Linked DNA regions of Lonchura striata. The protein of the gene in region 4 interacts with the protein of the main gene of each other region in a pairwise test. Links are inferred from orthologs where the notes say so. Each region holds a gene or a part of one and is shown on either strand. Other genes may lie near its edges. The genes, in order: CCN3, SPRY1, FAM221A and HOXA1.

What was found.
Region 1: the proteins of HOXA1 (region 4) and CCN3 interact in binary tests that used the Homo sapiens proteins (3 or more experiments, as listed by UniProt). The link is inferred for Lonchura striata from reciprocal best matches to the Homo sapiens genes HOXA1 and CCN3.
Region 2: the proteins of HOXA1 (region 4) and SPRY1 interact in binary tests that used the Homo sapiens proteins (3 or more experiments, as listed by UniProt). The two-hybrid records come from large-scale screens. The link is inferred for Lonchura striata from reciprocal best matches to the Homo sapiens genes HOXA1 and SPRY1.
Region 3: the proteins of HOXA1 (region 4) and FAM221A interact in binary tests that used the Homo sapiens proteins (3 or more experiments, as listed by UniProt). The link is inferred for Lonchura striata from reciprocal best matches to the Homo sapiens genes HOXA1 and FAM221A.

Annotation. Positions count from the first base shown.
Region 1 is NC_134603.1:14,138,249-14,145,469, reverse strand, and holds the start of CCN3 (CCN family member 3), read left to right. Parts: upstream 1-4,203; coding exon 4,204-4,277; intron 4,278-4,385; coding exon 4,386-4,609; intron 4,610-4,860; coding exon 4,861-5,112; intron 5,113-6,965; coding exon 6,966-7,171; intron 7,172-7,221. UniProt on the Homo sapiens protein: Immediate-early protein playing a role in various cellular processes including proliferation, adhesion, migration, differentiation and survival. Acts by binding to integrins or membrane receptors such as NOTCH1.
Region 2 is NC_134606.1:69,052,199-69,059,806, reverse strand, and holds the start of SPRY1 (protein sprouty homolog 1), read left to right. Parts: upstream 1-4,588; 5' UTR 4,589-4,724; intron 4,725-6,499; exon of another isoform or gene 6,500-6,543; intron 6,544-6,868; exon of another isoform or gene 6,869-6,880; intron 6,881-7,608. UniProt on the Homo sapiens protein: Inhibits fibroblast growth factor (FGF)-induced retinal lens fiber differentiation, probably by inhibiting FGF-mediated phosphorylation of ERK1/2. Inhibits TGFB-induced epithelial-to-mesenchymal transition in lens epithelial cells.
Region 3 is NC_134603.1:124,838,686-124,846,616, reverse strand, and holds the start of FAM221A (protein FAM221A), read left to right. Parts: upstream 1-4,910; 5' UTR 4,911-4,949; coding exon 4,950-5,005; intron 5,006-6,533; coding exon 6,534-6,707; intron 6,708-7,178; coding exon 7,179-7,369; intron 7,370-7,931.
Region 4 is NC_134603.1:123,485,874-123,492,381, reverse strand, and holds HOXA1 (homeobox protein Hox-A1), read right to left. Parts: upstream 2,015-6,508; coding exon 1,396-2,014; intron 968-1,395; coding exon 612-967; 3' UTR 515-611; downstream 1-514. UniProt on the Homo sapiens protein: Sequence-specific transcription factor. Regulates multiple developmental processes including brainstem, inner and outer ear, abducens nerve and cardiovascular development and morphogenesis as well as cognition and behavior.

The DNA.
Region 1 (7,221 bases), about 110 Mb from region 4:
CAAAGCCATAACAAAGCCATGTGTAAGAACTTCACCTGCTGATTGTGCTCTAAGTATTCCCGGCAGGCTTTATAATTAAATAGGTGTGGAGGAAAGAAACTTTTGGTGGAACATGCATTTAAGAAGAAACTGGAATTTTTCTACTGAATTTCTTTTAAGCACATAGAACTGTCTGACTCAGTGATGCAACTCCCCATCCCAACATAAGTAACTCTGACATTTTCAAAACAATGTTTTGATTTTTAATGTTATTTCATTTCAAAATTTTCTTCACTTGTATGTAAGATATTTTAAAATAATGCTCTGAAGTATTTTACTTTCAACATTTTCCCTCCAATTTCTTATTTGCTAAACCTGTTATTTCTTTTATGGATGACACAGAAGGCAACTCACAAAAAAGTAAAATCCAAGTCACTGTCATTTGCATGACTCTTACTATTGCAAAACTCACAGTATCATAGCATAACTTCAGTGGGATTGTAGACCACCACAAAAAATACTGTAAAAAAATAAAAACTAGTAGAATTCTTCCATTGGCAAAAGGATAATACATTTTTTAATCTCCTCTCAAAAGCACAACTATGACTAAGTCTGTGGGGATAATTCTGATAACGACATTATAAATAATTAGAACTTACATCTTACTTTAAACAATGTCAGGGTTAGCAGAGGTAATCACTGAATGAAGCAGTTGCTTTCCTGGAATATCTGTCTCTCAGGTGAAGCAGGATGTCTTTTGGAGAGGGAAGGCACTGGGGCCAGTGCATGCACTACAGGGAAAATTCACCGGCCTGGTTCATTCAGCAAGAGCATCCATGCCCACGTCGATGGCGGTGGCGGCAGTGCCTCTGCTGTCCCTGTCACAGCACACACGACAGGATCACCATGGCTCGGCTCTGCTCTCCTCGGAGCCGGGGCCCGTCGCTGCTGTCCTTCAGCACCAGGAGCTGGGGCGGAGCAGGAGCGCCGGGGGGGAGAGGGGCTGCCCCGACACCTTCCCGCTGGATGGGCAGGGCAGGGGGAGCCTTCCCTTCTCATCCCTGCCTTCTCCTGCCGAAACCACACCCCCACCCTGACTGCAGGGGTGCTGCGGGATAAACAACTTAGTCACACGCACACAGTGATAAAACCCTTTCTCGGTAACAAGGACGCTTCCACATGTCGCTCGTGTGTGGTATCAGTAACGCCACCAGATGTTAGGAATTTGCAGCTGTCAGCTGCCGCTGGAAAGGGATAGCTAAAAACTAAAACCTGTGATATTTTCTAGAAAAATACTGCCATTTATGAGGTAGACTAAAAGAAAGGGCATTATTTATGAAACAGTGCCGGACAAGTGCTGAATTATCCACCTTGTATTTGTATCAATAAAACATGGTAAGACAAAAGAGCAAAAGGAGAAAGAGAAGGATATGATGTTTATGACAACTGTACTCTAAAAATGGCATTGTTTGACATACATGAAGAATGGATAATTTTGTGGAGCTACATGTTGTGAAGCAGTCACTTTCACAGACAGCTGGCTTTAAAAAGAGGGATAGCACTATGAATGCTTGAATTTTTCTAATGTTTGATATATATCCTGACACCTATGGATAGTTATACCAGAAACCTTCTAAGAGTTGACCCAGTTTTATTTGTAACTCTGTTTCCAGTCTTTTAGATACAGCTTTTTCCAGCACTTTTCCAGTGCTGAAAAACCTTTAAGTACATTCTTAATACTGAGATTCTGCTGCTGGGCTCTGTTCCTGAACTTACACCTCTCAACAGTGTTCTCCAACTGTGTTTCCCTGCAGAGCGAAGAACAGAGGTTAATTTCTTTACATCTTAGGAGGGATTACTCTTTGCAACAGCTACAGCCAAGGTGGCAACCTAAATATTAACTCACTTAAGTACAGTTCTTTTAAAAAAGCAAACACAGAGAAACTAAAATATTTATTTGTACTTACTAATTTTGTATCATGAATGAATGCTATTCATTGCCAGCTGAGCCAGCATGAAACACCTCCACTGATCATTATTTTACTCTGTGAGAAGTAACAAAGGATGCTTTCATATGATAAGAAACTTTAAAAAGTTGCAAGAGAAGTACAAACAAAAAGATTCACAGTTAGGAAAATAAACCAGTGTCCAAGAACTGGTGGTTCAACAGATTGGAAATTATGCACGGAGGAAGTGAAATATCTAGGAAAAGATACTTGGTCCTATTGTACTAAAATGTAGCATAATCTCATTTTCATAACTGGTATTGCATAAACAGAGTGTTCATAAGCAAGTGCAGCTTTAATAAATCTATTAAACACATGTAAAAGAGGGTGGGTTTTTTTTCCAAATTAAGTATGCTGGCAAATACTTTTTTCATTTCTTTGACTTTTTCTGCAGTTTTATGTGGTGAAATGTTTTTATAGACACCAGAAGATATTTAAGATGATATTTAAGATATTTAAGATATTTAAAGTATTTGAGATATTTAATATATTTAAGATATTTAAGAGTGGTGTGAAGTAATCTCACTAAAAGGTAAGGAAACTTTCAGTGACTGTGAATGATTACCAGCACTGAAAACCTCTGCAGATTCACAAGCAGTGAGATGGGCAAAAACAAGTCTTGCATGTGCCCTCTGGCTTGCAGGCTTGCTTCTGGGAACACTACAGAAAAAGCCTTGCTTCTTTTCAGCAAATCTTCATGCCTGGCCAAGAGCATTGGTTATTCTGTTCACAAGCAAAGTGCTGTAAAAAGTGGCTGCACTGACTGACTAAGTCAGAGATTAATAAGGGAGAAAAAAAAGAGACAAAGAAGGCAAGATGACCTGTTAGGCAGTGGGTGACTTAAATAACCTCAAACTCATACCCAAGCTGCTAATAATGTTTGAACAATCCAATTTTCCTCTTGGCTGGTCATGCTGTTTGTGCCTGAGAAAATGAAGGCCAGAGATTACATGATCCTGCACCAGTGAAATCTGCTTTCCCCAGAATGCCAGGCATTTTCAGAAATCCTGCTGTTGCTAGTTAGCATCAAGAAAGCAATGGTCACATTTGTCCAAACCAAAACTTCTGTCTTGTCATTTCTGGTGATGTGTTTTGCTTTGGTACAGAGCTACAGTAGCTTTGTAAATTCATGAGTATTACTTGTGTCATGTCTTAAACTTAAAAGACATCTAGTTTTCACTAGTGTGTCAACAAGTTTTGTTTACTTTTCAAATATTTTCTCTTTAACAAGCCATAACAGAATCCAGTGGATATTATCTGCCTCAGACAACTAAGGATAAAGCATATCTGTATAGGATATCTGTATAGACCCAAGAAGGCCTGCCTTAGGCAGAAGGCAATTCCTGCTGAGTAAAACCCGTTAACAGATTTAGTCTCCCTTACACTTGGCCTTAAATCTGTCCTGCACATGCTAAAATAACAGCACAGAGCACTGGAGTTACTTCTACAAAGCATTCCTGAGGCCGGGCCTGTTGGCTCTGTGTCCCCTGTGGTTGCATACACCATGTAGGAACTGAGTAGTCTGTGACCACTCCAACGCACTGAGTTGCACAGAGCAGGGAGGACTCCCTATGCAACATCTGTGTCTCATCAGCTGATACACCTGCACCTCTCTAATAAAGAACAGCGCCCGTGACTTGAAAGTGAAGAGTTCAGTGCCCACCAAGCTCAAAACGCTTCAACGCCGGGGCCAGGAGCAGTATAGCCCCGGGAGGCGTTTGGCTTTGGGGTGGCTGGTCTCCAGCGCTGAGCACTGCCCAGCCACGCCGGCGGTGCCAGCGAGCTGCGAGGCAGCACCGTGCCCCCTCGGCGTGCGGCCCGGGATGGACGCTGCGGGCACACGGCACGGGAAGGGGCCGTAGGGACCGGCTGAGGGCGGCAGGCCCCTCGAGGGCACTGGGTAGCTCTGGGCCAGCCCCACCCCGGGCAGGGGCCGGCTCTGTCCCCGGGGCTGCGGTGCCCGCTCCGTGCGCCGCCGGCAGAGGGGTCGCGCCGGCGCCGGGCAGGGCAGGGCAGCGGCTCGGCGCCGCCGGGGCAGGTGGCGGAGGGAGCGGGGGGAGCCGAGGGCCCGGCCGGGCTCCAGCTCTCCGCCTCCGGCCCCGGTGCCCGCCGTGCGGGGGTGGTGGCGGAGGGGGGTCCCCGAGCGCCTCTATAAAAGCGGCTGCAATGGCTCTGCCGGCAGAGCCGAGCGGGCGGCGGGCAGGCGGCGGCCGGGGCCATGGCGACGGGCGGCGGGCAGGACCTGCCCGCCCTGCTGCTGCTGCTGCTGCTGCTGCTGCTGCTGCTCCGGCCGTGCGAGGCGAGCGCGGGGCGCCCGGCGGGGCCGGCGGCCGGGGGGAGCCGGCGGCCGGCCCGGCCCCGTGACCCGGCCCCCGGGGCCGCTCTGTCCCCGCCGGTCAGCGGCCGGGAGCCGGCGTGTCCCCGCTCCTGCGGCGGGCGCTGCCCGGCCGAGCCGCCGCGCTGCGCCCCGGGCGTGCCCGCCGTGCTGGACGGCTGCTCCTGCTGCCCGGTGTGCGCCCGGCAGCGCGGCGAGCGCTGCTCCGCGCTGCTGCCCTGCGACGAGAGCAGCGGCCTCTACTGCGACCGCGGCCCCGAGGACGGCGCGGCCGCCGGCATCTGCATGGGTAGGTGGCGAGCGGCACGTCCCCGCCTGCGGCTCTCGGGGCGGCGGGAGACCCTGCCCGGCCGGGCCCGCCGCGCCCGTCGCTGCCCCGCGGCTCTCCCGCCGCCCTCCGGCAAGGGGCCGGTCCTCAGCACCACCGGCGCTGCCCCCGGTGCTGCGGGAGGTGCCAGCGCGGACGCCGAGGGGCTGGGGGGGCCGGGGACTGTCCGGGTGCCCTCTGCCTCTGCGAAATGCTTCCCCTTTTCCCACTAGTGCTGGAGGGAGACAACTGCGTGTTTGATGGGATGATTTATCGCAATGGGGAGACGTTCCAGCCCAGCTGCAAGTACCAGTGCACCTGCCGCGACGGCCAGATCGGCTGCCTGCCCCGCTGCAACCTGGACCTGCTGCTCCCCGGCCCCGACTGCCCCTTCCCCAGAAAAGTCGAAGTCCCTGGAGAGTGCTGTGAGAAGTGGGTCTGCGACCCTGACGATGAAGTGATTTTGGGAGGTTTTGCTATGGCTGGTGAGGAAAATAAAATTACTTATTATAGTCATTGTGAGCAGGAGGTGATATCATCGTGGAAATATCCACAGGATTGCCAGGTTTAAGACATATTGCTTGTATGGTCAGGTGTTTTTCTGCCATACAGTGACTAGTATACCAGTGGTTATTAATAAAGGCAAAGCTCATCAGGTAAAAGAAAGATTCAGAGGATGAATATGCATAGTAGTTTTAAAAGTTAATTAATGTAGTTCCCAATTTTTAAATTTCTGTTTATCTGATATGCATTGGTTTTGTGACCAGAAGAAAACAAGGACAAGGTCCTAATCCGCCAAACATTCCCACACCAAGGAAAAAAGAAAAAAAAGATGCAGTCTTGCTAGTTGCTCTGCAAGAATATTTTTCAACATATATAGTATTATAACAGTTTAGTCTACAATATATTTTCTCCCCACTGAATTCTGCAGCTCTTACAAGTGGTCAGCACGGTAGCTAAAATGCCAGTGAATTCCAGCCTGTCTTTGATAGAGTGCTCATGTTTATTGATGGCATTAAAAACATTACAGAGTACTTGTAGAGGCAGTGGTTATAAACACAGTGAATGGATTTGTAAGAAAACTCAATCCATTCCAAAGTGCAGAACTCAGGCTTTTAAAAAAAGCTAGATAGGATTTTCTTCTTTTTCAGTTTTTTCCTATTTTCAGTTTTTGTACTGAATTATGTCTCCATCCCCATTAAATGAAACTCTTAGTTCAACATGAATTTTCATAACTTTCTTCCAAGAGTGGAGGGCACTGCATTCTCTTCCAGTCACTGCTCTTTGTGATCTTGGGCAGTTAGTTATGCCAAAACTCAGCTAATCCATTTTAAAAACAAGTGAGAAAGGATTGAGGAAGAAAAGCTGGAGTAGCTTTTCAGTGTGCTGTGAAGTGTTACTTGTAAAGCACATAAGGTGTAAACAAAAAGTTTGACACTTTTCTATTACCTTTCCTTTCCTTTGATTTGTCTGATGGTGACAGGCTAAGCCATAAGGTGCCTACAGATGAATTGTCTGCATTCTTTCGGCAATGGCCATCCCTCTCTGGAGGGCACCTTTTTTTGGATCTTTGCCATTCAAAAGGCAGGAAGGCTGTTGCAGAGGAGCTTAACAGCAAGAGCTGTGACTGACGGCTCAGCTGTATTGTCTCCTCCTGTTGGGTACTGTGCTAATCAGTGAACAAAACTGTGCCTCAGCAATGTTTGCCCAGTGCAGCTTTACACTGCCAGGAGAGCAGGACGGTGGTCAGACCTGGCCATGGCTTTAAGTACCTGTGATAGTTCCTGGAAATGGCTTCCCTCGAGCCTCCCCACCATCACCCTGGCTGTAGGCTGTCAATAATTGACAAGATGGCGTGACTTTATGACTCTCAGGTGTAAAAGGACTTTTGTTCCATTATGTTTATTGGTTTAGATAAAAAATTCAGCCTCTCTCAAGTACCTAATATAAATACTTTTATGACATAGCTTTAGAATTGACTTGTGTCATATTTCCATTAGAAAGAGTGAAGAATAAAAATCTGTTAGGATTCTAAACTGATTTAAAAGTCAGCAATAATTCTTCCAGCTGTGGACTTGAGTGAACAGAATCTAAATGCTTTGCTGATTACACTGATAGACATCTTTCTGCTTTGGGGCTTTTTTTTTAGACATAGGAAGTTGCTATTCAGGATTCCTAAAAAGTCAGCTTTTCAAATTTCTAAATCCTGTCAAAGGCATGGATTTTGAACCTTATTTTGTCTCACATGTTCCTTCTCAGACATGATGGAGCTCAATTAGATATTAAGATTTCATGTGAGTTTTTTTTGTAATAAAGTTCTGTGGGGTTTTGTCTCCAGCCTACAGGCAAGAGGCCACACTTGGGACTGTGACTGATTCAAGTGCCAATTGTATTGAGCAGACAACAGAATGGAGTGCTTGTTCCACCAGCTGTGGAATGGGCTTTTCCACCCGTGTTACCAACAGGAATCAACAGTGTGAAATGGTGAAACAGACACGGCTTTGCATGATAAGACCTTGTGAAAATGAAGAGTCATCGGATAAGGTATGCTGCAGAGAGTGAGGCAAGGCAGGTCTTCAGCTCTAATTCCAAGG
Region 2 (7,608 bases), on a different chromosome or scaffold from region 4:
CCAGCAGAAATAGGAATTGTGTCTGTGCAAGGAATTGTGTCTCAGTGGAATGGAAGGGGCAGTTTGCTCAGCACTAGGATACGAGACAAGGATTTGCATATAATTTATGGTAGATGAGAGTAAATTATTATTGGCATTCAGTAATAATGACAGTTTTCCTTTTTTCACAAAGCTGTTTATACAGGCAGATGAAGTCAATTAGCTAAAATAGTTAACAGTTAATAAAAAGCAAGGGAAATATGGTCAGTAGCTTAGCAGAATACCTTGTGCACATGCAGACAACCCATGTAGCAGCTACACATGAAGGCTAGAGGGGCAGTTGTCCAAGGAAGATTTAAGTTGTTCAGAAAACAGTAACTATGGGTACCTGAGGAGAGGTGTAGAGGTGCTAGTTGCCTGTATGTCAGAGGAGTGGTGGAAAATGAAGAGACTTGCTGTGGCCTATCCTTAGGAGAGTGAAGTTCTGCCTGTGGTTACTCAAGGAAAATGCTGGTTTCTTTGATACAATGCAGGAGATGGGGAAGGGAAAGTGTGTTCTCAGACTCTCAGCCTATTTTACAGACCTTGGCATTTTCGTCCTATTTAATTTGGGCACAGACTAAACCCCTCTCTCTGCAGCATTTGCCGAGATGCTTTGATTCCACATTCAAATGTTCATGAGGCAGGTTCACGTCGAGGTTCGTCCCTTTGTTCTTGGAGGTTTGCCCGGCTGCTGCCTTTTACTGTCTCCTCTGCCTCTAAGAAAAGCTGATGTTATCTCCCGAAGTGAAAACTACAGGTTCTATTTGTAACTGAGGATTTCCTGTGTGCCTTTCCCCAGCCCGTGCAGTGACGGCAAGAGACTGGCACATGGGCTGAGTGTCTCCAGAGAGCTTTGAGAACAGCCCCTGCACAGGAGCTGAAGAAATCCCCAGCCACCCGTGCCTTTGATCTCAGATAAAGGTCAACCTGTCTGGTAGAAAGTGTGATGGGAAATGCTACCACATCAGCCTTTGCTTTCTCTTCTTTACCCTGAAATGATTCACTGTACGTGTCAGGGTATGCCTTCACCACAGCAGCCATGGTGTTTGGCTCTTGGGAGCAGCTTTATTCATCTCATGCACCAGCATAAGCCAGGGCCAGCAAGATTTCATGAGAGCTGCTGAGAAACTTGTTATTACAGCAGTGTTCCATAGCCTTTGTTGGTTTGTTGGAGAGTTTTTAAATCATGGAATCATTTAAGCTGGAAAAAAACCTTTAAGGTCATTGAGTCCAGCCATCAACCCAGCGTTGCCAAATCACCAGTAGACCAGTCCCTAAGTGCCACATCTACACATCTTTTAAATCCATCCAGGGTTGGTGACTCAGCCAGTGACCTGGGCAGCCTGTTCCAGTGCCTTCAGTGAAGAAATTTTTCCTGATCCCCAATCTAAATCTCCACTGGTGCAACTTGAGGCCATTTCCTCTTGCCTTGTAGTATATATAGGCCTAGTGGTGTGTTAAAAAGTTAGTTATGCTGGTCTTGTCCCAACAAGCACTGAGAGTTTCTGAGACTGTTCAAGCACTGACAACTACAAAGTTCCACCTGACACAAACTCAAAGCTGCTGACACACAAAGCTTGGGGAGCTGTAGGTTCCAGTCAGTTCTCCTGACACCACCTCTGCAAGATCATCTCTGGTGAGGGAAGTACCTGACCTACACACGCTACAGGTAAGACTGGCACAACAATTTGGTTCATAATTTTGTTGTAAATGCTAATGGAGGGGGGTGTTTAAATTCCTCTGTAACCTGAGAAATGTTGTTGCAGCTGTGAAGATTGGTTAGGAAGTGACAAGTAACATGCATAAAGGGAAACATTTCCCCTGCTGAGTCTCCTCAAAGCCATGTTGGCTTTGTGACTGCGGATGAGTGTGTGTCTTCCTTCTGGACTGGGATTTGTGCCTTAGCAAGGGCTAAGAGATGCTGCTTAGGGAGAAACAGAATAATATTCCCAGGGGGAATGCACCATGGAAATAGTTGTTCCTGATAGTGGGAGGATCACAGTTTATCTGGTGCATCTTTACAAAGGTCAGTTAAGTCACCTAGAGATAAAAGTTACTTCTAGGTGTATTAGGAAGAAAAACAAAAAGCTAAGGATGGATTGTGCTTTTGTTCTGTCCAGTGCTGCTGTGAGGGAGAAGTAGCATCTGACTGCAGAAGGTGGGGATTATCTCCAGTACCCGATCCTCAAAGTGAAAGTGGAAGGAGGGATTGGATCACTGCTCTTGGCCATCATTCAGTCCCCCGAGCCCCTTCTGGCAGGTTTTTCTGAAGGATTTCCTTCAGGCACAGAGGGCTGGTCTCTATTGACTTGGTGTCAGCTGAGCCACCTCTAGATGATGGTTTGGAGATAGAAAATTATTTGGTTGCATCAGATTCCTGCCTGTGCATCAATCCTCAAATTTAGGCCATGTTAGGATGTAGCCATAGGTGCCAGTTCATTCTCCAGAATGTTGCTCTCCTTTTTCTAATCAGGACTTCTCACTGCTATAATTTCTAGGAATAATCTAGTGAGATGGACTTGTGCGAGGTGCAGGAATGTTTGCTTGAGCCTGTGGAGAGCCTTTGGATATTGCTGGAGGGTTTTCCCTTCTTTCAGTGAAGTACTAATTCAAGTGCCAGGTGATAGTGAACACCTGCCAGTCCTCTTGGTTATTTGACTGACCCATTTAAGTCTGGTATTATGTTTCTAAAATCAAGCTTTTACACTTGGCATAGGTTTTTTAAGGTGGTACTGGCTTTAGAGATGTGAAAGGAAAGGCGTTGAGGTGTTTTCATGGTCATGTCCTAGGAAAAATGTTTATGGACTTCTGCGAGAACTGAGCCCTGCTACCTACAAAGATGAACTGCACCACTAAGACTACTCTGCAGGAGTAATGGTTTTTAAAATTTTTTGTAGTAATTTTGGTTCTTTAGTTGGATTTTTTGTTCTTGTCAGACATAAGCTTTTGTAACTCTTTATAAAGTTTTTAGATGGATTTCACTGAAAATGATGTTGTACTTTGTGCTCAAGGTGTGCCTGAAGATGCGTTTGGTGAACAACCACATTTTCTAAATCCATATTAATGGATAAATCAAATATTGTTTTGGAATACTTTTATTCCACACCAAGGATTTTTATGCTATTGTTTGTCCTTTGAGCCTCTGTCACTGGAGAATGGTATTTATGGTTTGTCTGCAATCTGTTAATTACAAACTCAGCAGTATTAGGAGTCACACTACCACTAGTACTATATTCTAGTATTCAGTACAGAACCTCTAATGCATGCAAATTTTATTTCATATAGAAATAGGTGGTTCAGGTAAAGGTTGTGCATAATGATGAAAATTTCAAAAATGAAATGAAAGCTTAGTGAAGTTTAATGAAAAACCACTGTGCTGCTTCCACAAGTGTGAGCTGGGTGTGCAGACTGTCACAGAGTACCACCTTTGTGGTACAATCCTGTTTGTAGGGATTGTTTGCTTTTGGATGTATGTTCCTGCTAAGCAGCTCCACATATCCTTAGCACATACTTCTTTTCTTTGGGGCAAAAGGTGGGAGAAGTTTTGTTTTTGGTTTTTTTTTTTTTTTTTTTTTTTTTTTTTTTTTTTTTTGGTGAAAGAGATTGTTAGTATGGTTCAGATAAACTTAAGGCTGAGTGGTGTTTAGCCAAGTACTGGAAGTCTCAACTATTCCAATACCTTACATGTTGTTATGAGAATTTGGATGTGCTTCATATCACTTTCCTGTTCTTTTGGTGGCCTAAATACTCTAAAATATTCTAAATATTAGAATACTCACTGAGAAAAACCAAACCCCCAAAAATCTTACGTCAAATGTAATATCTGGCCATAAAACTACTGACTTGGAAAGCATCCCTGTATCTCCTTGGCATCATGGCAGGGATGCAGTCGTGACCTTTAGATCGGACCTTGCCGAGGCAGGGCTGGAAAGGTGGGAGACAAGACAGCCAGGTCGATAACCAGTATCATCTCTGCTGCAGTGACAGCCGATGGGAAGAGCCTCTTCCTATCTCATGGCAGGATGGCGAGAGGGAGTGCTTTTCTCGGGTCCTCAGCCGCCTCCGCAATAGCCTGAAAGAAGCAGAAAATACCTTGTGAATATAAACGAAGGGCTGTTCCACCTGGCTTGAAGGGCGCAGACGGCAAAACGCAGAGAGGAATCTCTCTGTAACTCTGTCAGAGGAGCGTGGCAGAACTTCAGCCCTTCAGCAGAGCCCTGTGCCCGCCGGTGCCGCGGCAGCTCCGTGAGCTCTGCCCGCCCGGCCGAGCGCAGGCGGGGGCAGCGTGTGCGAGCCGGGCAGCTCCGAGCTCCGCCGGGCCGAGCCCGCGGGGCGCTCCCTCTGCCGGCGGGGCCTCGGGGCCGGGAGGAGCCGCGGCCGCGGGACAGCGCGGGGCCGGGGCCGGAGAGGGGCAGGTCCTCCCTCCTTCCCTCCTCAATTCCCTCCCTTCTTCTGTCCCTGGCGGCCCGCGGGAGCGGCTCCCGGCGGGAGGGCGGGGAATCCACGCCGGGATTTCGGAGGCACACTGACATCAGGGGGGCGCGGCCGGCGGCGGGCGGGGGCTGCGCGCTGAAAGGCGGCGAGGCGCGGCCCGAGTCACTCCGGAACGGCGGCGGGGCAGCGCGGAGCGGCTGCCGGCACTGCCCGGGCTGGATCCGCGCCGCCAATGTGCCGCGGGAGGCGGGCGCTCACCCCGGCCCTAGGTAAGCCCGGGCGGCGCTCGCCGCGCCGCACACCCACCTCCCGCCGGGTCAGGTGCGGGCGGGCGGCCGGGGCTCCCCGCGCCGCGCTGGGGGCGGCCGCGCTGCGAGGCGTGCGGGAGGTGCGGGCGAGCCGCGCTCGCTGCTCCGCGGGGCACCGGGCGGGAGAACCGGGGCTCGGCTCCCCGGGCCGGCAGCGCTGAGTTGGGCGCGATTCGCTGCTCACAGAGAAGCTCCGGGTCGGTACTCGCCCGTCCCGCCCGACGCGGGGTCTCCGGCGCGTCGGAGCTCTGCGCGACCCTCTCGAGCCTGCGGAGACCTCGGTGCCAGACTGCGGCGTGCGGGGTCGCCCCTCCCCGCCGCGTCCTGCCCCTGCCCCGAGCCTGTCACTCGGCCCCCGGCAGCGACAGCCAGCACATGGCTGTGTGCGGCGAGCTCGCAGGGCCATTGCATTGCGCTGCCTCTGGCTTCGTTCGCAGTTCGCTGAGTTCTGCCTGGAGAGCTAGAGCCGCTTCTTGATCGCTTTAGAAAGAAAATAAAAAATCAAAACGAAAAAAAGCAAAAACCCAACCGAATCTTTCGCACCAGAGGTTGTGGTTGCACTTTGCCAGACGGGACTTGCGGCAAGGACCATGCGGTGAAGCCGAGCGCCGGAGCGGGACCGCAGCCCTGCACTCTGCGATCGCAAAGGGAAATAACAAACAACCGGAGCAGGAGCCGCGCACCCGCCGCCTTTTCACAGAGACCAGCATCGCAACAGCCCCGCTGCCTGCCGCAGCCTGCAGCCGCCTGAGGCTCCATCCAGATACTCCGCTTTGCAGGAAGGGCTGGATTTGCTCCCCGTCGCCTCCGGACCGAGAGAGCCGTGGCCGAAGGAGAGCGCCGCTTCCACGGGCGGCCGGGGCCGCTGCATGCTGACCCCGGGAGAGGGGAGCTGAGGTGGGCAGGAGAGCGGGGCTCTTCTCTGCTGGCCTAGTAGGACGTGGAGATCGGCGAGCGAGGGCTGCGCGGGGACTAGGAGCGCAGCCCGCCGGCCCTCCCCTCCCCGGGGGCCGGGAGAGCGAGGAGCCGAGGCCCCGCCGCCCCCCGCCCGCTGGATTTGCCGTTCCCGGTGGCTGCCTGCACACCCGTAAGTTGGGACCCGCCGTGCACTCACTCGCGGGGCCGGCGCTGCCGCAGCGAGCAGGTGCCGCGGGGCGCTGCGGCGCCCGCCCGGTGAGGGGCGGCCCCGACCACCCTCCCACCGTCCCCCTCCCGGAATGGAGGCACCGGGCTGCTGCGGGAAGGTTTACTGGGGATCGTGGCCGGCTGCGAACGAGCAGAACGTCAAAAACATCCCCCAGACGCTCCTCGCAGGTGGGGGCTGGAGGGGCTGAGGCGGAGGGTGCCGAGCCGCAGCGCGGGGCTGAGCGGCCGCTCGGCTGCCGCTTTAAGCGCCAGGTAATCTGCTCTCCCGAGGCAGCGCCGGGCTAAGATCTGCCTTCCTCTGGGGAAGAGAGAGAGAAGGAGAGAAAGAAAGGGAAAAAAAAACAACAACTATGTTTTCATTCATAACTTTTTTTTCTTCCCCTTTTCCCCTCCTCTTCCTTCCTCTCCGTCAGCGCCGTGATCCGCTCCGCTCCGCTCGGGGCGCAGAGGGCGCCGCGCCGCCGCCGCCCGCCCGGGGCTGCGGGGAGCGGGGCGGAGCAGGGCGGGACGGGGGCGCTGGCGGCGTGTCCGAGCGGGTGTGGAGAAGGGGAGGGAAGCGGGATCCCACCCCCGACGGGCGGGGAGGGAGCGCAGCCCCGGGTGCAGAACCGTGAGGGCTCTCGCCGCCTGCATCGTACGTTATTTTATTATTTTGTTTTACTAATTTTTCTTTTATTGTCCGGGGGGAGAAGCAGTTTACGAGCGATCTGCGCGGGGGTGGAGGTGGCTGTTCAACTCTCGCCCCGGTCTGCAGCTGGGCTTGTCAGTCTGCGCCGCGTTGATGTTGCGCTTTCCCCCCAAAGATGGCACTGGACGTCTTTGCATTTTCTTGGGATATTGTTTTTCATCCCCTAGGGAGCCCAGCTCCTGACTGGTACAGCTGTAAATCTTTCCCTTTTCGCATTCATTCAGCCTTGGTCTGTTGTGGATTTGTATTCAGTGCTCATGAAGAAGGCTGCTTCTTGTGTGGGGTAGGAGGAAATTCTTTGCTGGAGGGTGGTGAGGCACTGGCACAGGAAAAGGCTGTGAATGCCCCATCCCTGGAAGTGTCCAAGGCCAGGTTGGATGGAGCTCTGAGCCACCTGGTCTAGTGGAAGGTGTCCCTGCCCATGCCCAGGAGCTTTGGGACTGCAGAGTCTTTTAAGTCCCTTCCAACCAAGCCATTCTGTGATTCTGTTCTGTGAATTAGAAGTGAGAGTGTTTGGTTTTTCTGTTTAATCTGGTGACCACAAAGCCCACACAGGTGATGTCAGATGTAAAATGAAATCTTTTGACTACTGGATGAGGACAAAGACTTTGTGTCACGGCACAAGCTGTCACTTTCTGCTTATGGTGACTGCCTGCTAGAACAAACATTTCCTCTTCTTGTTCTTTCGGTGCCTTTTTCTCTCTGGAGCGGGGAACAGCTCCATGCTGGCTGTGGTCTGGATATACAAGACACTTTCATAGCATTATTGGATGAGTTTTTGAAATGCTTGCTATCACTTACCTTTCTCTGCTTTCAGGTAAACACTTATGGCGTCCCAAGGGGGAGTGAAAAGGGACTTTTCCTTTGGCTGACAGTAAAGAAAAGCAGCTTGTTGTCTTGGTTCCCTGCATAAATGTGGCACTTGGATACTCAGTTCCAATTCTGTGTAGGTGCAGAACTCACTGCAGTTTTCTCTGCGTTGCAGCCTTCCCGTCTCTAGCTAGGCAGGAT
Region 3 (7,931 bases), about 1.4 Mb from region 4:
GCTTTTCTCATTTAAATAAATAGTTTTGAATATCTGCATAGTAATCTTAACGTAATGAAGATATCCAAATATTTTCTCACACGTGTATGTGAAGAGGGGTTCCACATTAAAGAACTTTTGAGATGAATGGAGGGACAGATGGTCAGACTCTCAAACACACTGATACAGCTCTTAAAAAGCTGCCTATGCAATGTTAAGATCAGAGAAGTTTGCTGATCTGTTTTAATTGAAATAATGTTTAAAATGCAGAATCATGGCCCAGGATATAGAGGTTCTTGTGTTTAGTGGCACCCACTATTATTCATCACATATTGCACAGTTGTCTGGTTTTCCAAGTGACTGCTAAATCCTTGTTTTTTAATAACAGTCATTTAAAGAAGCTGACTAGATAGATCTGAATTCTTATTAAAAATACTTGCTAATTCAGAGGTTTCCAAACTGCATCATGTTTGTTATGTGTGCAAGTTGCTTTAGCAACCAAGCACATTCTTTGCAGGTACATGTTCCAGAGGTATTTGCTGTTGTCACAGCCTTTGTTCGTGGGAATCCAGAAGTAGAGTAAATTTAGGAGCCTCTATCAAGACATTACTTAGAGAAATAATTGCCTAAAATTTAACATCCCAGTTTATGATGTTTTCTTGAAAAATCTTTTCATTCCTAAAAATACACTGACTAGTGGAATGAGCTGAATGTCTAAAACATTCTTACATAAAATTGGTGTGGTATTTTTAAAGGTGATATAGAATGTTAATTAATTAATCTAAATATGCCCTCTTTACCTAACAATTGTGCTCTTTCATCATTCTGTATTTTACAAAACAAAGGGTCTCCTACCTTGAGGTTCAATTTAGTGTATCTGATAGCATGCCACCTTCAAAGGCAAGAGCAAAATGGGAGACTTCCCTTTTATAGCAGCCAAAAAAGTGAATTAGACTTTTGCTCTGTTTTTCATGTGGAAGAGACTGGTACTGAATGAGTATTTCACTAATCTCAGTTTGTTAGGAATGATGGACATAGGCATATGTCCAATATGAATATATGTATATTTACATATAAGATATGAAAATATCTTTTAACGTTATTAAAATGAAGCCAAATTAAAAAAAAATCACATTACATACATTCATGGAATCACATCTCTTAAGCACCAGTGGCATCACATGCTGCTGAGTTATCTGTAAGTGATCATAATTACTATATGTTTCCTAACTGTTTGTCAGTACTTCCAGCAAAAACCTTTCATTATTAATTGATTCTTGCTTGCACATGAGGTTAGGTTCCATATTCCCTTTGGCATTCATCAACTTACTTTGTCAGTTGGTGTCTAATCAGGTTCTGTTTTTCTAAAAACAAAACTGAAGAAAGACGTTGGTATTTTTAAATACTGTAAACTAAGTTTAATAATACACAAACTAATTTTTATTGTACGTAGTCTATGGTCATGGTTAGAAGTTTATAAAAGTGAGTACTGTTTGCATTTACTTTTAAGTATATTGGGATTTTGACAACACATGTGGAGTGAGGAAACAATTTGACAGAAACCGTTTCTGCTATGCTTTATGCCTCTTAAATTCTTGTTTTCAGAAGAGCTTATCAGATAGTCATTGACCAGATCCATAGAAATAGAATGACTGGCTACTACTTCAAAATGATGACTTGAGGTTTAAAATACTAAAACAGGTTTTTCCTAAATTAATTATTTTTTAGTAGTGAAGTGGGTATCTTCAATTTATAGATGTTTCACTGAGAATAATTTTAAACACTTGTCAAACTTGTAAGGGTTTAAAAAAATTTAAAGGGTCACACATTTTATTGTTAACAGAGGGTGTTGAGAGAGACTGTCAACACCCTGTGAAGCATTAAGCTGTTGCCTTTGATGTGTAGGCAGCACCTTAGGTCTCACAGAGCTGTACTGTGTGTCCATATGTTCAACCCACTTTGATGTGTTCAGAGATCTTGGGCCAGCAGTATCCGTATGCTACATCACAACTACAGGAGGTAAAGCATGCCATCTGGATTCCTGTTCCTTTTACTTACCTTGTGTCATGGCTTCTTCATAGTAGCTGAAAGCCTTATTTTTTTCCCTGCTATTCAAAATTATTTGGTAGTTTACAAAAAAAAAAAAAAAATCTGTTTTGAGCAGTCTTTAATGAGTTTTACTTTGGATGTCTATTAACAATCTCGTAGAAGGGATGAGAGACAGGAATGGGTTTTCTAAATTCAAAATGTATTCCAATACTCATGCTATGATAGTAAAAAGAGTGTTTGAAATATCTTTATTAGCTAAGAACTCTATTTCTCAGTCACAAAGTACTTTTTATATCTGTTCCTAAGTATGTCTACTGATCCAGATTTGGATCCAATCAGATCTTGGGGGGGGTCTTACTAGCACTGGGTGCTAATAAACTGAACACTGTATTGTGAAACACTTGCTGTGATCAAATCCAGGAAAAGAATTCTCCTTTTTTTTTTGATGGGAAGTAGTTCATAGGACAGATGCCTCACAAAAAAAAATAACTTGATTTCCTACTCTCAGTAAGTTGTCACTGGTTGTTCATGCATAAACACTGACATGAGTGACATACAGGCTAACATTTGTACCCCTCACTGAAAGCTGCATTATTAAGAAACCTGGCTCTTCTCTCTAAACCCAAGCTGTATTTCAGGGGACTGTTTTTAACAAGCACAGATGAGGCACATCAACCCATGACACAGGAGCTCTGCTCATTCTGTGTGAACCAGGCTTGCCAGAGCTCTTCCCCCCGCCCCCACACCTCCCCCTTTATTGGCAGTACTGGGATCTCTGGCACCAGCAAAATGTGCATACAGATAAGGTATCTCAGAGATCTTCACTTTTGTGCAGCTCCTGTGGAGCAGTGTGTTCCTCAGTATGTTCAAATTCTGTCTGCAGCGCTTCTAGTTCTGCTTTCAAGGTCCCCTTTTCCCCATCTGTTTCTTTTTTTAAGTTTTGGTCACAGGAGGAATTTTCTCTTCCCTGACTTTTCCCTGACAATTCTGGTTTTGTTGGTGTGATTTTATTTTCTTTCACTAGCTTACTCGAAGAGGTATTGACTGCAGTGGGGACTTGCTCCCTAATCTTCCTGCCTTTGAGGGTGATCTTTTGTGTTCAGATCTCAGTGTGACAGAGCGTGTGTGTTGTGTTGCTGTGCTGTCTGCTCTGCTGAAATTTCTTATACATGAGGCATAGCCACAGGACAAATGTCCAGACCATATGCCCTATCATCTTACTTGGATACTGAGAGTGTCCCTGTTGTTTCATCTCCTCCTGGGGGATGTTTTGGGAAAATATTGCTGTGGTCCTTGTGGCATTCCTCTTCACCACCTCCTGCTGCATTGCTAGTGGCTTGCACAGTTCAAAACTATGTGGAGATTTCTCTGAATTTCTTTTTTATTTTTTTTCCTCTTTTGCCAGGGAAGTATCATTGTATGGCATGAACAAGGCCTTTCCTCTTGGATCTCAGTTTGACAGTCTGAAGGCTCATAGCTTATGCTAGCAGGCAGAGCACAATTTAAATACCAATTTCCTAAAGCTTGGATAAGGAAAACGTACTATATTTTTTCATCACATATTTGATCACTTTGTGGCCAGTCTGTTTGTATCAATGGGAGGCAGTCAATTTACACTGTTAGTGCAGTGTCAGAAATAGCAGCCTTTGGTGGATTCGCTAAAAACACATTGGAGGAGTTGTTCCAATATGGTTACATTGATTGTAGCATATGGAAAAGAATCGGGACTTGCAGGTTGCCAGTCTAAGAACCATCTTTTGTTAAGAATGTTTCCCAAAGTTGGCCTCCTGTAGTCTTGAACTACAAGTAAAACGTATTTTCTAGTGGAACATACATTTTATTTTGTAAAGGAAGAGGAATCAGTGACCAACCAAAAGTACCCCTCACCTACCCACCAGAAAAGAAGCAGTAGTCTAAGCAGCAGCAGCAGAGGGCAATGTGGGTGCAAGGCTGGCACTGGGAGGGTTTGGGTGCTGTGCTGTGTGGCTGGTGGCACCCAAGGCTGTGGATGCCCTTCTGAGGCACTGCACTTGTGTGTGTGGGTGGCTGTGCCCTGGCACTGCTGCTCAGTGTCTATCCCAAGGGGCACAGGGGGTGCCTGCCTTCCCAGACAGTGTGTCCTGTCCTTGATATCGAGCTCCTCAAGATTTGAATCAAACTTTGCAATTTTTTTAGTTATTAATCAGTTGCCATAGCAGGACAGTTAGGGTTGAGCAATTGCGTTGTGAATGTTATGTGCTTGGCTAATTTTTTGTTTTAAGGAAAAGAGAAGACAATTCCAAGATGAATGGACTGTGTGGATGAGAACCACCAGTAGTGAAGCCAGCAGAACTGAGCAGTAACCGAGAGAAAGGGAATTCCAGCTGTGGGCGATCACAGCCACCTGCTCAAAACAGACCCCAGACTCAAATGGGCAGAACTGTGCCTGTGCACAGAGCTGTGCATGACAAGAGAGAGGTATGACTAGCAAATAGGGGGCTGAATACTAGTTAGTAGGAAAATTACTCAATTTGTAGCCAATGAATGTTGATGCCTTTGTTAAAATGTAATCAATAGTGTAAAGTTTTGATGACCTAGCCTTTTGTGGGTTACCACCTAGCTCTCTGCTTTGCGCAAGCCGGAATAAAACAAAGCAGGGCCTCGCCCCACTGCGAGCCCGGTAACGACGACGCCCCGGCCGGACAACAGCGCGGCGCGGGGCTGGCCGCGCCCGCGGCCCGCACGCTGCCCCCGCGCTCGCACGTTCCTCAGCCGCCGGTGCGGAGCGAGCTGCGGCGAGCCGCCCGCCTTCCCCGCCTGGCCCCCTCCGTCCCCCGGCTCTCTCCTGCCTGTCCCCCGCCTTTGCCCCGCCTGTCCCCGGTGCCTCCCGCCTGCCCGGCCCCGCCCGTTCCCGGCGCCCTGCCCCGGGCGGCCCGGCGGGCATGGAGCGGCTGCAGGCGGACGCGGAGGCCCTGGAGGAGTACGCGGAGTACCGGCGGTGAGGCACAGGGGCGCTGGGGTCGCTGGGGCGGGGGACGGGCGTTTCCAGCCGTGCCGCATCCCTGCGGCGGCCCGGGATTCCTCCCGGGGGGATGCTCGCCTCCGGCCCTCCTGAATCGGCTGCTGCGGGGTGTGCGGCGGCTTCGTGGAGCCACACGCACCGCCCGCCGGCCACTGTCGCAGTCGGAGGAGCCGCGGCTGGTGCGCCCTGGTGAGGACGCGCTGCAAGCCTTGGCTGTCAGCGGGGAAGTCACGCATCGTCCCTCGCATCCAGGGCAGCGTGAGGTGTGCTGGGAGAGGCCATCTGCTGCATCCCTGCCCACGGCAGGGGCTCCGGAATTAGGTGGTCTTTCAGGTCCCGTCCAATCCAAACCATTATCTGATAATCTGCCAGCCGTACTGCTCTTTCAGAATACGAGGAATTCTGTGCATCATGAGTTCCAAGTTTTGCGTTGTACAAATCCCTTACACTGCTGTGTGTCTTTGCCAGTCTTGTCAGCGGTCCTCTCGAAAGGCTGAACAAAAATAAACACTGTCGTTGTGCTGAGATCTTAATTTAGTTTAGGAAAACCTCGAGTAAAACACAGTGGTATTTCTTACGTAAGATGTGCAGTGATTCAGTGGGTGTTGGTTGGGTTGACATGCACATTATTCTGGTGCTGTACAGTGCTGGCAGTGCACAAATCCACAGAATACTTGACAAAGAATCACTCGTTCAGCATTTTTTAGCATATCCAATAAATAATAACTGAGATATTTACAGACATTAATAAAATCACTTTTAGCATAGATAAGTGCTGCAGTTAAGTCTCATTTGTATTTTACATATTTTATTTATTGTCCTTAATTGTTTCCATAAATGCAGAATTTGGATGCTGCTCCAGAGTTCCAGCTAGTCAGTGACCTTGAATTTGAACATAGTGATAGCTTAAACAAATGGGCCTGTCTGTACTGAGGGATAGGGCCCCCACCAGCTTCTGCTACAGAAACCAGCATAGTCTTCTTGCAAATCAGAAGACAACTTGAATGTGTTGTTTGTTACTTTGATGGTTACCTGCTTGCAGCTGAATACTCAGACTAGACTAATATTTGATACAAGTTTGACTAAGATCCTGATACAAGTCTGCAGTACAGTTGGGTGTAGATGGGTGAAGTGACTTACTAGAGGTCCGTGAAGAAGTCTGAGGCAGAGCTGGCTGGTTACATGACCCCTGATGCTCATTGCTATTTTTTTTTTTTTCTGAAAGAACACCTGGTAGTTTGTTGTGTTAAATTTTTCCTTCTCTCTTAGAACTAGTTCTCAGTCTATCAGAGCAAATTTTTTAAAAAAGCATTATTCAAAAAATATTCTCCAAAATCAGCCATAGTTCTGTTAAATTATTAGAAGAGTAATATGAAATACAAGATTTGTTTTGCATTTACAGAAAACATTTTGTTATATATTATTTGAAAAAAAAAATCTGAGATACCTACTTTTATTTTATTCATTTTCTTATGTTTTTTTTTTTTTTATGCTATGTAAACAGAATTGTAGGTGATGATGATGGAGGAAAGCTCTTTACTCCTGAGGAATATGAAGAATACAAAAGAAAAGTATTACCAGCTCGGCTACAGAACAGGTTGTATGTGAGCTGGAGATCACCAACTGGCATGGACTGTAAGCTTGTGGGGCCAGAGACACTGTGCTTTTGCACTCACCGGTGGGTAGCTTCCCTCTTTTTACACTTTAGTATTTTTCACAATCAGGAAAATGTGAAATAATCCCAGACACATTACAGTAGCACATTGACAAATTTATTTAAGGTTTAAGAGTTGAGAAAATTAGGTTTTAAATAGTAACAACTGCTCGTACATGCAAATGTCAATATATTTTTGAGACCAAAATGATTTTGTAGTCTCAATAAATTCAGCTGCAAGGCATGAGTTAATGTAGATCAGATTGATTCTGGTAGCGCTCTCAAAATGAAAGATAAGGATATGTGATATTTATGTAATGAATAGATGTAAAACCACCTGCTATCATGCATTTAATTGAAATTTCACTATTAAGAGTAAAAAGTACAATTAAAGTTACTTCAAAACAAAATCTGTGAAGTGAATAGCAAGCCTTTCAGGTAGTTTTCTCATAAACACTAACAAAGTTATAAAAGTCATTACCTCTCCTGTTTTAGGTATAAACAACACAAAACAGACTACGAGGTGCTTCCCAAGGAGCGCCCTATCAGTCTGCCCTGCAGAGTGAAGCGCTGCCCGTGCCAGTCCTACCAGTTCGTGCCCCTGAACGGCACCCAGCCCGTCCGCTGCCGCTGCAAGCACTTCGCGGACCAGCACAGCGCCGCGCCGGGCTTTCCCTGCAACTCCTGTAAGCCACCGCTGCGCTGGCGGCACTCTTTGGAGCCGGGAAATTCAGCAGGAACAGCGTGTGAGGATGGGCGTTCTGCCCAGGGTATCGGGTGTGTGCTGCTCTTGCCACCAATGCGTGTTTTCATCCTTGAGGAAGGATGAGAAGAGGGAAGGAGGACATCACCTTTTGCACAGGAGGGTTTAGAACAACATCCTTAGTTTCCCCAGGTCCTGTGAAGGAGTTTAAATCTGTGAGTGCTTCAGATAGGTGCTTATGGAGACAGATGTCTGAAGTTAGACGGTATGAAAGCACCCTGTTATCAGTTTGTCACTTCTGCTGCGTGCACGTACCTTTTCTACCTGAACTTGCTAGTTTGAGAGAGAGAAGCGTTGACCTCCATTTCTCTATTGTCAAGTTGACTAGAACATTAATATGTTTTTGTCTTTTCTCAAGTCAACAGGAAGTACTACTCTGTTCCCAAATAATTCTATTGCTAGCACTCTAACAAAGTGGTTCATGACCATAGAGATTGTGGCTCTAGAAATACAAATGGGAAAGGAGTTTCAGCAAGATCTTAGAA
Region 4 (6,508 bases):
GAGGTATCTGCTTGAGCTTAAGACGTTTACTTGATACGGTCATCTACTTTACCAATATAAAAATGGATCCAGTTTGGCGAATGCACTCACCCTGCTTAACCTGATAATCGAAACATCATTCTAGAAAAATCTGTAAAAAGATAAATCTCTCGGACAAAGTATTTACAAGCAACAAATACATTGACACGAACAAAGAATACATTAAATTAAGGGGATGAATGTCCTATAAGTCGTGTAAACACTTGCAATAGTGCATCTCTTTGTGAGGTTATGTACCCTAAATAACCTGTCTTTCACTCAGGGAAACTCGGTGGAGCGTCCTTGCAGTGGTGGAGGGGGACCCTTACGCGGATGCCAACACAGCTCCACCCTTAACAGAAAAGGAAGGGGGGGCCAGGAAGAAAATTCCCCTAGCACCAAGGCGCCGGGACCCGGCGGAGCCGGCACCCCCGGGGCCGGACGGCGGCGGAGGTAGCGGGGGAGGGAACGGCAGCTCGCCGGGACCTCTCGGGGATACCGACCGACCGAGGGACCGACATAAGAGCGGCGGAAGGACGCGTGCCGCTCCGGCGGGGGCGTCGCGCCCGGCGGCCGTCGGGGCGCAGCCGGTCTCAGTTGGAGGCAGCGAGCGTGTCCGAGGCGGAGGAGGCGGGCGAGGCGCTGCAGGGCGAGGAGCAGGACTTCTCCGACGAGTCCTCCGCCTTCTCCTCGCAGCCCGTGGGGGTGGCGGGGGAGATGGGCAGCAGCCCCTCTTTCTCCCGTTTCTTTTGCTTCATCCGCCGGTTCTGGAACCAGATCTTCACCTGCGTCTCGTTGAGCTGGAGAGAGGCGGCGATCTCCACTCGCCTGGCCCTGGTCAGGTATTTGTTGAAATGAAACTCCTTCTCCAGCTCGGTGAGCTGCTTGGTGGTGAAGTTAGTTCTGACGGTGTTGGGCTGCCCCACGAAGCCGTACTCGCCAGCCTTGCCTGCGAGGGGACATGCAGCGGTAAGTGAGCGCAAATGATTTATAGGCGATGTAATCAATATGTCCACACCGGCTAAGCGATAGGGAGCAAGAACTTCTTAGGATAAGAGGGAAACCCCGGCAGGGTGAGTGATGGAGTACGAGGTGCTAAACCGGAGTCAGCCTCTAGTGTCAGAGCAAACTTGATAAGTGGTTTATGAATTACCAGAAATATGACCACGGGAGAGGAGGAGAAGGGGGAGTCAGGAATAAGTGGGGAATAAGCGCCGCTGGCTTTCAGCTGCGCGGGCAGGCAGCCGCGACTGATCCCAGAGGTGCGGGCCGACCTACCTGCCCAGAGCCCCGCGGGATACCGCGCCTCTTTCCCCGCACCTGCGGCGGACAGAGAGAGGAGCGGCCCCCGCCCCGGCCCTCCCGCCGGCCACTGACCTGTTTTGGGTGGGTTTCTTTTCACTTTCATCCAGTCGAAGGTTTGCGCCGGCGGCGAGGTCTCGGTGGAGGGGGAGCGGGCGTTTTCCCGGTGGCCAGCGTGGAGGGGAGACAGCGCATGGTTGTAGGTGCCCAGGGGCAGGCTCTGCTGGTCCTGCCCGTAAGGGGGAGGCACGTACTGAGCGGAGGCCCCCGCGTAGCCCTGGTGGGGGAGCGGGTGCTGCGCAGCGGCAGAGGAGGAGATGCTCCCCGAGTACACGGCGGGGGCACAGGGAGGGAAGCCGCCGCCCAGCTCCGCGTCCTGCCCCAGGGGGTAGGGGCCGTACGCCGGTCCGAAGCCCTGCGCGCTGTAGGTCGGGCCGCAGCCGGGGTGCGCGTAGGACACCCCCAGCCCGCCGTGGTGCTGGTAGGCGGCGGGCTGGGCCGGGCTGTGGTGATGGTGGCGGTGGGGGCTGATGGGCACCCCGCGGCCCGCCAGGAAGCGGTCCTCTCCGCTGCAGCTGCCGGCGCTGACGGCGCAGGGCTGGAAAGTTGTAATCCCGTGGTCGGGGTGGTAGGCGCGGGCGGCGCAGGCCCCCGCCTCGCCGCCGAGGACGGGGTACTCGAGGAAGGAGCTCATCCTCGCCGCGTCTGTCTGTCACGCCGCCACCGGGTCTTCAGCGTCCGGCGGGGCCGCGCCAACTTTCCCACTTCCTCCATGGGGCCGGCAGGAAAATGACACGAAGGCGCCGGCAGCGGGCAGGCACGTGGGGGGCGGCAGCCAATGGCTGCGGCGCCCGCGGGGCTTCCCCGGCTCCTGTCGCTGGTACAGCGCCGCATCGGGGGCATTTAAACGCCGAGCGCTCCGACCGAGCGGCACCGCGGGCAGGGAGGCGCCGGCCGTGGCCCCCAGGGGGTGGGGGGCGGGCCGGGCAGGGCTGTACACACACACCCCCGCCGCGGCAGCCCCCTGGGTCTCGTCCGCCAGCTGAGAGAAGAAGGCAGGAGAGACCTGGAGGCTGCGCCCGGCCCGCGGAGCCCACCGGCCGTCCCCTCCAGGGTGAGTGCTGCTGCCAGTGTGCCCCAGCATCACCCTGCTGTCGGCGCTGTCAAGCCTGCACCGGGCACCTCTGCTGCCCATCAACCCCGGCCAGGACAGCGGCGGGGGTGGGGTGGGGTGGCTAGGGGAGGTGACTGGATCCGCGGCACGGGGCGAGGGATGGGGCGGAGAGAGGCAGAGACAGCGCTGAGAGCATCAGCCCTTGGAACGGGAATGAGAATGGGACCGTGGGATGCGGCTGGGGACTTCTACCGGGACGGGAATTGAGATAAGAAAAGGAATGAAGGTAAGGATAAGGTAGAGAATAAAGAATAGGCATGGGACCGAGGATATGGATATGGATGGGATGTGGGTGGAGGTGGAGACGGTAATAGTATCGGTGCCGAGGGGGTCTCGCTGGTCCAGCCCCGCCGCAGTCCCAACGCGACGCCACGCCAAGAGTTAAAGGGGCTTGTCCAGCCGCATCACCAGGCGGCCGCGGACATTAGCATGGAAATTAGGCGCTTTTGGGACTGACGGCCATTGTGCTCTCCCAGGCTCACCGGCCACCCTCTGGCCCCCATCCCTTCTCCCCCCGCGCCTTCGCCGGGCTCACCCTCGCCAGCCTAGGGAAGGAGGAGCCGGGGGCAGGAGGACGAATGATTGGACGGGGGCCCGGGGGCTCCGCAGCCCATCTGCTGTGCTCCCGCAGCGCCGCTGCCGCCCGTCCGCCCTGGGACAGGGTGGGGGGACGGCTGTCCGGGGTGTCGCGGGTCGCAGCCCGAGGAGGCGACCCGGGACAGGGGCAGAGGAGCGGAGGGAGGCGCAGAGCCCGCCGGCCCGGCCTCTTTGTCCCTGCGCTCCGCCACCCGGGTCGGCGGTAGGGAGAGATGGCAGATGGCCAGTGGCAGAGGCGGCCCCAGGACCCTCGGGAACGGCTCTGAGGATCGACTCCAACCCAGCCCTCCCCAACACCGTGGGGAGGTGGGTCAAAAAATTCGTCCGTGGCTAGAGAAGGAGGGATGGCGGTGAGATGTAGGTTACGACCTTATATGCGTTTTACGTATGCGGAAAGGGAAAGGGGAGGTAAAGGCCGGGCATCCGTCTGTCCCAGCTCACCCAACCGTCTGCAGGCAGAAAGGACGGGACCAAAAGTCTTCAAAATAAGTTCTGCGAAACGTCAGCCTCGGAGAAAGATGGATGGAAAGTCATGTCCCCTGACACTAGCCCCAGAAGGGGCTACCCCCTCTATTTCTGCAGGTGCCGACTCTTACGTCCCTCTGTTCTCACGCTCGATCCTTGCTTGTTTTGAAATCCAAAAGGCTCTTCTACCACGCTACCACTCCCCGCTCACGAATACACACGCACACACCCACATACACACCCTCAAGCTCCTCCCTCCCACACGAACTGCGACACAACAACACTAGGTGCAAAGCTCTCCTTCCTACTGCTATTGGGTCAGCCCTTATCCCACGGCATCTGCACGGCCGCTCTACTGTCAGCCAAAACCGACGGGCGCCTCTCCACCACGCATCATTCCCGGTGCCCTCAGTACGTCTATTTGTTCTGATTTACTACAGAGGCGGGGATGGTTAAGGGCCCTCTGGAAAGGTTCAGTTTCTTAAACTGTAGGGGGGTGGAGTGGAGGACAAGAGCAACAACACTCTAGAGGCGTTTATGATATTATACTGCGCCAATTTTGGTTATGGCTGCAGCTGTAAACACATTTATTTCATTCTTGTAAACCCGTTGTGATAAATACTGCACAAAGCAGAGAAAAAAAAAAAAGACAGCGATTAGTATTGCTTACTAATAAAAGGGCTGACATCTTCTCAATGCTTTTTCCTTTAGCCAAGGGAAAAAAAAAATATTTTACTACAACTAGATCCCTTTTACCCGTAAATTCCGATCAATCACTTTTCTTACAGTCTCCAGCATCCTGAAATCCTTTTTCCTCTGCCTTTTTGGTGCCATTGTCTCTTGTTGCATTGTTTCCCTGGCGGGGCTCTCGGGTTTTGCTGCCCGCACTAAGCATGGGGGCAACATCATGAGAAGGGTCGGAGCAGAGGAGGAGCACACACCACACCCTCCGTCCTCCGCGGCCAGGCGAGGGGGAGCTACGGCCCCTTCCCCTTGCCCTCAGGCCATCCCGGCCCCTCCGCGGCTTCGCTCCGCGTTTCCTGCCACGGAACTGAGGCTGAGGGGGCGATCCCGGCTGTTTAGGCTTTTCCGTGGGAGTGTGCCCCAGCTGTGGCCCCATAGTTCACCCAGAGCCTCGGAGGCGGGTTCTGCTTGCTGAATTCCCCCATTTATTTAAATTGAGTTTGTGAGAAGTTTAAACCTTGTAGAATATTCCCATTTCCTTTTTATTTTCGTTTCTTTTTTTTTACATCTCTGGGTTTTGTTTGGGGGTTTTGTTTTATTGTTTGGGTTTGGTTTTTTTAGTTCGTTTTGCTTTGGTTTTCTTTAAGTGTAGTCAGCATCCGGAAATCTGGGCACAAAAGAAACCCCAAGCCTTACAGGAACGTTGCGGTCCAATTTAACCCAGTGGCAGGGGAGTGAAAATGCCGGTGAGGCTGCTCGCTTTCCGCAGGGACATGGCTGGAACAGAGGGAAGGAGGAGAACTGAGGCCGAGGTTTCACCGCGCCCGCAGCTCAGCCAAGCTGTTGTTTTAAAAGAGCAATAAAAGTGAATTATGACTAAACGCCTTCTCACTTAATGGTTTTAGACGGGGATCCCCAGCCTCGGCAAATACGTAAGAGGATTTTTATTTGTGAATGTGTTCCTGCAATTGATCTCTTTGATGACATTCTCATTCATAGAAAGAGTTTGATTTATGACTTTCGGAAGAATTGCGTTCAGCCCTTCCAGCTATAACCCACGCATCCCAGCTCCACAGCGTGTTACAGGGCTGGGAGACAGCACTGCTCTCATGGACGGACCCCATTCACAACCCCCCACCCAAGCCCCACTCGCTTGTGTAACGTGACCGCTCGGACTCACTCGCACTCACACGCATTCAAGGAGCCGCGAATGTCCCCGCACGGGATTCCCTGGCCCCGGAGAGGCAGAGCCCCGCTGGCATCTGTTGCTGTGTTTTAGCCCGAAGGACGGGGCTCACCCTCTGCTTTGGGGTTCGGTAACACCGGGTGGCAGGCAATTTGGTGGAGATTTCTGAAAGCCCGTCTAGCCGCCTCCAGCAGAAGAGCAGTGAGCCCGAGAAAATTGTAACTTTAAAGTCAGAGGTTCCCCTTTTCGTTATCAGTCTTTCATCTCTCGAGAAGGCTTACACAGAAAAATATCTTCGGGTCTGCCCCCGCACCGCCCCCGAGAAGGATGGAGTGGAGAGGCCGGTTCCTCCCTAAATATTTTTTCTTCCCCCTGCGTTTCTGCCACCCTTTTGATTTCACAGGCACTAACTTCTCCATTTCCTCTCCTCCTAGGGCTGATTTCTTGGATTACTCAGCACGTGAGAAGTAACCAACCACATTATTTGTGAGCTCTGATATTTTTAAAGATACGTTTTCTGAAATATCTTGCTGGCTGCTAAGCACTACTTTCTAGAAAACCAGGATTAATTAAAAAAAATAATTAAAAGCAACTTTCCTTTCGTTCATGTAACAGGCTGGTGGTTTCTGAAGGAGACACTTACCCTATTGAGTCACTCTTACGTTCTGCCTGTAGCAGAGAAAGTCTTCATTCATGCTTTTGTTACAGCTCAGGATTTCCAAGCTTTGTATCCTCACAAAGATGCCATATTTATACATTAAAAGGAGCAAATGTCTATAAAATCTGTGAACGGTTCTAATTTCTTTAGTTTGTTTTTCCTTCCCTTATGAGAATCCTTACAATAAAGGAAATGAACGATTTTTTCCTCTCTAATGAGTGTCCTAGATTGCCAAAAGGGAAGAGCTCGTTGTCAAAATGTTGGATTTTGATTATTAGTAAATTAATAGTGGAAGGGATGGGGAGAGATACCCGTCATGTTATCCGTCTTGAAAGCAGAGAGAAAAAGAGGAGAAAGAGAAAGAAAAAAGAGAAAGCTCCTTGTAGCAAACAAGAATTTATTCTACCAAAAATACTTATGACAA